Solanum lycopersicum: one gene and its partner. The protein of the gene in region 1 interacts with the protein of each later gene in a pairwise test. Links are inferred from orthologs where the notes say so. Each region holds a gene or a part of one and is shown in the gene's direction. Other genes may lie near its edges.

Evidence for each region.
Region 2: the proteins of golgin candidate 5 (region 1) and ras-related protein RABH1b interact in a two-hybrid assay, tested with the Arabidopsis thaliana proteins (2 studies listed by BioGRID, with this or other methods). The link is inferred for Solanum lycopersicum from reciprocal best matches to the Arabidopsis thaliana genes GC5 and RAB6A.

Annotation. Positions count from the first base shown.
Region 1 is NC_090805.1:44,311,228-44,315,050, reverse strand, and holds part of golgin candidate 5, read left to right. Parts: coding exon 1-871; intron 872-1,771; coding exon 1,772-1,843; intron 1,844-3,008; coding exon 3,009-3,083; intron 3,084-3,823. UniProt on the Arabidopsis thaliana protein: Golgi matrix protein playing a role in tethering of vesicles to Golgi membranes and in maintaining the overall structure of the Golgi apparatus.
Region 2 is NC_090800.1:79,113,158-79,117,705, reverse strand, and holds the start of ras-related protein RABH1b, read left to right. Parts: upstream 1-1,469; 5' UTR 1,470-1,822; coding exon 1,823-1,939; intron 1,940-3,079; coding exon 3,080-3,150; intron 3,151-3,775; coding exon 3,776-3,864; intron 3,865-4,017; coding exon 4,018-4,129; intron 4,130-4,548. UniProt on the Arabidopsis thaliana protein: Protein transport. Regulator of membrane traffic from the Golgi apparatus towards the endoplasmic reticulum (ER). Binds GTP and GDP and possesses intrinsic GTPase activity.

The DNA of each region.
Region 1 (3,823 bases):
TGAAGAAACTAAATCGGTTCAAGAACCTATTGAAGAAGCAAAGGATGTTGATGCGAAACCAAATCAAATGATATCTGCTGAAGAAGAAACTGAGGAGGCAAGAGCTGTTGATGTCCAACTGAATTCTTCTACGGAACCAAGTTTTGATCAGGAGGAACAAAGAAGTGTTACTGGGCCAGATGAAAGAAAAGCTGAAATTAATTCACTGGCAGAAGCATCGAAGGTCAATGAGCTTGATCAGGAAACATCTCCAGGAATCCTCCAAAAGAATATTCCAGAGCGAGAATCATCTGAAAACCTCGAGTTGGTTGTTTCCCAATCATCAAATGCTTTATCTCAAACTGAAGTTGGTATCCCGCTGCTTGTTGATTCAAAGGAAAATACTGGTAATGATGGGGAACAGAAGAAAGAAGTCACTGAGGAATCTCCTCCTGTTCAATTAGAGGATGCATCAAATTACCCTACAGACAGGGAACAGAAGAAAGAAGTCACCATGGAATCTCCTTCAGCTGAATCACGGGATGCATCAAGTGACCGAGCAGATAGTGGAAGACCTTCTGTTTCAGATTCTGTAACTGCCAGCGAAGGTGAAAGTCTTGAAGAGCATTCTAACAGGAGCTTTCTTGGTGACCAGCACACTGATGAAGGTCTGAAGAAGCTATCTGATACAGTTATGCCTGAAAATGAGTTGGTTAGTATACCTGTGGAGGCTACCCAGCGAGGAAATGATCAGGAGACTGGTGTGAAAGAACGGTTGAGCTCCGGAAGCAACTCTTCAGATGTTACCAATTCAGTGGTTGAACTGGAGAAGCTGAAAAAGGAAATGAAAATGATGGAAACTGCATTACAAGGAGCTGCTAGACAAGCTCAGGTATGTCCATATGCTACTTTAATGGAAATTTATGCACCTTCTGCTCCTCAGCATCAGTGGAACATTTCTGAATCTACTGACGTTACTTGAGAATATGAATCTTTTGTTGTATGCACCTATAGTAGGCGAGTCCAATAATTCACGTTGTATTACCTAAGATTAGCTGAAATCTGAATCCCACTCATCCTCAATAATTTCTCCCAACTTGTGTGGTCATGGATAAAAGTTGCTTCAATGAGTTGATTTTGACTAAAAGTAGCTTCAATTAAAGAAGTTCTGATTTGAAGTGTGTGTGTCATTGACACATCCCATTGATATTGTCTTGTACTTCTCAAATGACATAGTTTACGTTCTTGAGGTCTCAAATGTCTGAACACATGGATATCTTTTCCATAGTCCGTGGATCCTTTCTGAAGTTGTGGAATCCGTTGGCAAGGATGTTGGTATACGCCTAAAGATGATTGGACCGTGTAGCAGCTTCATACGTTTAATTGCAATTATCCCTTTATTATTATGCAGCATTATTCCAAAGCCAATAAATATATTTAAGGATTCTGGGTGATTGGAACTAATTCTCCCATCATGTATGAACTTCGCAATATCTTCCTGTTATGCCTCAAACTTAGAGGGAAGCTTGGACCGTGTAGCAGCTTCATACGTTTAATTGCAATTATCCCTTTATTATTATGCAGCAAGATTATTCCAAAGACAATAAATATATTTAAGGATTTTGGGTGATTGGAACTAATTTCTTCCATTATGTATGAACTTCTCAATATCTTCCTGTCATGCCACAAACTTGAAAAAAAATTCAGTTGGTGTGTTAGACCCCTTATTTTCAGTTCTTGTTTATAAAATGATGAACACTCAACAAGATGACATGTCATTGTTTTTCCTCAGGCTAAAGCTGATGAAATAGCGAAGTTGATGAATGAGAACGAGCAATTGAAGGCTGTTACTGAGGATCTGAGAGTAAGTTCTCATCATTTTGAAGTTCCTTTCGAGGCTGTTAATTCAATTTGTTGCTGTCCGCTAGTTTTTGAAATGGCATGAGTCAAAGACATACTATAGTTCCCATTGTTTCAGGATGAATTTACCATCTCATAAATTAGATTTCTAGTGTTGTTTTTCTGCTTGTTATTGCAGAACATTTCTTTCTCTTCTGCCCTTGCTTGCAATTTTCTTCTAGATAAGTTAATCTTGCATGTGAGCCAGATATTGTGTAAGCTTCTGTGCTGACTGGTCGAGTCATCTTAACTACCACCTAATTTGTTAAGCACTTTTTAATGAACATCATCAATAATCAGACTTCTCTTGACTAGATGCGTGTAGATCAGGAAGAATCGCTTCTGTTGCATAATTTCATATGACTCTCATCATTGATGATTTTGATTTAACTGCTTTCACATCAATACACGTTGCATTTTCTCTTATACAAATTCTAGCTTCTGTCCTGTTTGTTAGATGACTTGTGCTTCGTATGCTCTTCTATTCTCTCAGAACTGCTAGTTTCCTGTATCAATTTAAGTACAGAATGTTTCGGGGTGGCCCAGTGGTTTGGGCTTGGAATTTTTATGTTGGAGGTCTCAAGTGCGAAACCTCTTGCCAGCGAAAGCAAGGGGTTTGCCTTCAGGGTTGAGCTCGTCGCACCGGGCTTGGCTAGTGCGGGTTACCTCTCCTATGTTGTTTGCGAGCTATTGCATGTGGGTGGGGGTGGGGGGTGGGGGTGGGGGTTTACCCTGTGCGCACCTAAAGGATAGTGGCTGTGAGTTTCCCTTGTCATAAAAAAAAAAAGTTATCCCTGCAAGCAATTATTCTGTTGTTCATTTTATCTTCCTTTAGTATTAATATCATATGTGTAATTGGATCTTTATTGCTGCTGGGTGGGATCAGCGTAGCACGTGCCAATGGATGTGTGTTTTGTAATGGATAATGGATCGAAACTTTAGTTAACTCTTTTGTTAATTTTATTTAAATTGGTGAGTTCCAATGCACTTTTTAAAACTTTTTTCTAATTCCCCATCCCCACAGCGTTCCTCTTATGTGTACGTTAGGTTCATCTTTCATCCCTCATAATTCCCTTCTAAGTGAAACTCCACCAATATTATATCTCTTGCTTACACACTAATTTTTACAGAGGAAGTCCAGTGATGCAGCAATTGAATCTCTGCGAGAAGAGTACCATCAAAAAGTTTCTGCTCTTGAGAGGAAGGTATGAATGTGTTCACATGAATGTTTCAGCTTAAACTTCCATTGCTAAGTGCTTGCTTTATGTCTTGATCATCAGCCTTTTCACATCATAACAGTAGCATAAATTCTTGAAAGACAGTTTATTTGAGCTTTCACATTGTTGCATAGTTTTTCTACTTCATTTAGGCATCACTACAATGTGCAGCTTCAGCTTTTATGTGTATAACTTCATATTTTATGCTTGCTGGTTCTGTATAACGCTTGATGGTTTCTTACACTTTTAGTTTTTCAATGGTTCTAATAGACTCTAAGGATGCAGGATTATCTTGTTGAGCTGTAATGGGTCGAACCCCTTTAGTGTCAATAAGACCTTATTAACTACATATATGAATTGGGACGGGGAGCTTGACCCTCGAAAATCTGTATACTTCCACAGGAGAACATTCTTTGGAGAAACTCCATACCCTTCTTTTAGAGTTCTTGCTCTTGTAAAAAAAAGTAGAAGCATCTTTTATATGCTGCACATACATGATATTGACAGAAGAAGAGAAACATTCTGTGTTGGCTGGTAATATTCCATCTTTTCCGATTTCATTAAATTTTTTGAAGAAATTGCACCATCCTTCCCGCATCTCTATTTACTGCTGAAACCTCATGTCTACTACTTCCTAAAATTGCAGTTCCCCAGTTTGTTTTTTTAAAGAAAATCCTCCTGTACTATCAGTCATTGAGGGCTCTTCTAAACAAGAAATTCCATCCCTG
Region 2 (4,548 bases), on another chromosome or scaffold:
AGGGGTGAGCACACAGCGTTTTGTACTATTTCAATCTCCATCTGTTTATATAAAGACTTGTCTTTACTTTTTGAGACAGTCTAGTTTCGGTGGTCCACTGTTGGGACTTGTACTCGTTTTGTTGGTACCTCTGTATTAGTGACTTTCAGGTTCTGGGAGGGATCCTTTATTGTATTTATGTTTTGGTTTGCTTATGTTGTTATAGTAAATTTTCTTAGTCTTGTTTAGTTTCTACCCTCACACCCAGTATGTGTGGTTCTGGGTTGTGGTTTGGCTTACCTATTGATGGTTATAGTAGGTGCCTTCATGGCTCGAGAAATTGGGTCGTGACATTTATCGACGAATAAGAGTTGTGACACACGCTTGTGTTTAATCTTCCGTTAGAGTGAATGACATATATGCTCTAGTTTTTGGACAGTAGATGCACCAATGTCCCAAAAAATATGACAGAGAATATCTGCATACCATTTACGATAGTTCGAGTTATATTTATCTTTTTTTCCTTCTAGTTATATGAAATTAATTGTTTTAAAAATAAATTAACAAGAAAATATGTTACATCAATTGCATAGAACAGTTATTATTTTACCAATTTACATTTTAGGAGGATTATTGATTTCAACTTCTCTCTTTGTGAATCTTTTTTTTGTTTCAATCTTCAAAATTATGTTTTTATACATAAATGGTATTTCTATTTTTGTGAAAGGTAAAAATATATTTGTAATTAATCGAAATACATATTTCAAGATTACTCAAATAAAATTCATTGTAATATTTTGAATAATTATACTCTTTGAATTGTTCCTTTATTGTTGATAATATGTGTTCTTCTTTTTAACACTTCTATTTTTCTTTCGGTCCAATCTTATTAGATAAATATTTATGACAGAAAAGAGTTAATAACATCGGGATAATCTTTAAAAAAGCACACTCGTATTTTGAAAAATAAATAAATAAGCCAAACTTTTTATATTATATCATATGCTCACCAAAATAGTTTTGAAATGCAATCTTTTTTTATAAAAATTATTCCATTATAAAGGGTAAGAAAGGAAAGATAAAAGTATTTAGGGTGACCATGAAAATTGAAGCTGAATTTACTGTATCAAAAAATTTCAAAGTTCAAACAATATCAGTAAAAGGAGAAGATCGTTTCATATGACAATGAGGAATGATCATATATGTAGGCTAGCAAGCTGATTCAACAAATTCCAACGGTAAGAAAAAAATCAATAGAGATTAATATTGGATCTTATGTAATATCTACGTAAATATATTTAATAAAAATAAAGTTGAATAGTATAGAAAAAATTATAATTTAAAGGGAAATATTGATATCATTTAATTAAAAATAATAAGAGTGAGGATATAAAAGTTATTGTGAAAAATAAAAATATGCCAAAAATTGAGTAATAAAAAAAAGAACTATAGGGTAAATATGTTTTTTTTTTTAAAAAAAAAGAAAACGAAAAAAAAAGTACAAAATGTGTAAAAGAGGAACATGAATACACCGAAAAGGAATTCTTAAAAAAATTTATGAGAGCCAGCAAATCACCACAATGCAACCATGTTACTGAATACAGACTCCGTGTTTCGCCAAACCTATTCAAAAACACTACTCACGCGCACCGCACCCTCCCAATACACACACTCTCCCCCTCTCTGTTTCTCGCTAAAGCCCACGAATCCACACTCCCCTTTGCTCTCTCCGTGATCATTTTCCGGCGAGATCCCTGGTACTCCGTCGGAAAATCCTGATCGGATCCGCCATCTTTTTTTTTTGTTACTGGATTCAGTTTCTCGTACCGAAAGATCCAATTAGATGGCTCCGGTTTCGGCTCTCGCAAAGTACAAGCTCGTTTTCTTAGGAGATCAATCTGTCGGCAAGACCAGTATTATCACGCGATTCATGTATGATAAATTCGATAACACCTATCAGGTATACACTTTTGCTAATTCATTATTCATGTGATTCAATAACCTTTTGTTTCTGCGGATCTGTTTCTCAATTAACATTTGTCGTCTTCTTGTTGTAAGCATATTTAATTTTGCTACATAAAGACTTAATACTTATTTTTCAAGATCTTTATCTGTAAAGCACAGTTATTGACACTTTGTATGTATAATTTGCTCTTACCGAGGGAAGGTGTTTGCAGCAATGTATTGTTGCTCATATGATTTGCTTACAGTGTAATACAGATTTGAAGTCATTATAGGTCAGTCTTCTGTTTGCGGAATTTTGATTGGGTAGATTGCACTCCGGAAGTTGGTTGCCTTGTTAACTGAAGTGTTAACACATCTAATGTGAAGTAATGACACGCTTTTATTATACAATTCAGAAGAGGGATAGAGAAATGAGCATACGTTGTAGCTTATTTCCTCACTGTCTAAATAACCCAAAAAGCTTCTTGTCCGCTTCCTTGCGCATTATTGACGAGAATCCACAGGAACTTGTGGAGTGTTATGTATGTGAATGATTTACATCAAATCATGCTTGAAACTCTAGCTCTCCATTGGGACAGTCTCACGAATCCTTAAGCCTTCCAACTATATTTTTCTTCTCTTTTCTCGACAAACTATATATCTGAACTTAATGCTTTAAGTTGTGCCTACATTGATCCAGATCTTTTCTTATAGATTCTCAACTTCTTTTCTCCTCTTTTTTTTTGTGGTTGAACTGTGTCTTTCCTTCTTGTACTATGACGGAGTGTTTTGTTTGGTCTGACAGTAACATTCTTCTTATTTCGAATGTTTCTGGAACCCTATTACACTCTTAACCTTTGCAGTTAACAAATGACCTGCTTTATCTTTTTTCGTGATTTGCTGACTTTTAGACAATCATTTCATCAATCCTCAGTTCCCATGCCTTGATGGGATAGGGTTCTTTTATGTCTTTTTGATTGTGAAACTGCATGTAATCTAGACTTTCTAGTTCTTGCTTCCCCTCTTCTAGTAAAGTATTTCCATTTCAACTAACAACTCTCTCTTCTTATTCAAATTTTAGCCGGTTTACTTTTTTATTTATTCAAATAGACGATATTTTATCAAGCATCCTCATTTTATTTAATTTCTTCTTCAGGCCACAATTGGTATTGACTTCCTATCGAAGACTATGTACCTGGAAGATCGTACAGTAAGATTGCAGTTATGGTAAGATATACTTGTTGATGAGACAATGTCTCATTGTGCTCTGATCATAAAGACTGTTTTCACATTTTTAACATCTTACATTTGTGCCATGTTGTTAAGGCGTAACTACATCAATCTATTTGAGGTAGCACAATTAACAGTTCAATGTGATGTGTTGTGTTACTCTCTTTCATGAAAATGAAAAAGTGATGCAGCTATCCTTGATTATGGGTGTTAACATATATCAGGATGGAAATTGGTCAGTTTAAGTATCTTGCTAAAATAGATTTCTTAGTGGAGGCTTCAGATATAATTGCTCTTGCTTCAGTATTCCGTAGGAAAAATAAGGGGATAGTTTTTTTTTCTTATCTAGCCTTTTAATGATAGGTTCTGTTTCTCCCTTATGCCTCCCAATTGGATTTATAGTAGCTATCAAACTTTTAGCCATATTATGAAAATGCCCTGGCCTGACAAAAGTATTCTCCTCAAACCAGTTCATAGTATTAAGATTTTCTTTTGTTTTCACTTATTGGGAAAACATTTTAACTGTTGCCTGGCTTCTTGTTTGGTCATTTGATGCTGGATTTAGTATTCATTTCGCATTTTCATGCACTATAAAATTTGCCTTTTCGTGATACACTTTCAGGGATACTGCAGGTCAAGAGAGATTTAGGAGTCTCATTCCCAGCTATATTAGGGACTCCTCTGTTGCTGTCATTGTGTATGATGTTGCAAGTATGTCACATTTCAATTTTGTGCAGTTTTTTTTCGGTTCATACTCGATTTCCCGCTTATCCTTGCTTCTGGCTATATTTGCTTGGAAATGAATTACTTTGACGAGATATCCCTTGCTGAAGTTACACACTGTTTTTTCCTTGATGGTTCCAGGCAGGCAGTCCTTTTTAAACACTTCAAAGTGGATTGAGGAGGTCCGAACTGAGAGGGGCAGTGACGTTATTATTGTCCTTGTTGGTAACAAAACCGATCTTGTTGAGAAAAGGTAGCAGTAACTTGTTCATTCTCGTTTTCCTTTTCCTTTTTGGAGGGCGTGAGGGTGAGTGAGACTTTCTTTTTTGATGTTTTAGCAACTTTTCTGCTAAATACCAGAACATTTGCTCCTGAAGGGGCTAAAAACACAACCAATATTAGAACAATGTCTTCAAAAGCAAATCATGAAAAAGTGCAAATAAAGCGAGGCTTAAACGTTGAAAGATGCCAATGAAGAAAAAAATATAAATACATATCTTATTTAAGGATAATACCTGGAAACTCAAAATACTGATACATCAGTGGTGGAGCCAGAAATTTCAAGAAGAGTGTCTACGATTTGTTTGGACAAATGAGTGTACTAAAAATTTTAAAATGTGAAAAAAAGAATTTGTTGCTTTTGAAATTCGAACACATGACCACTTTAATTTC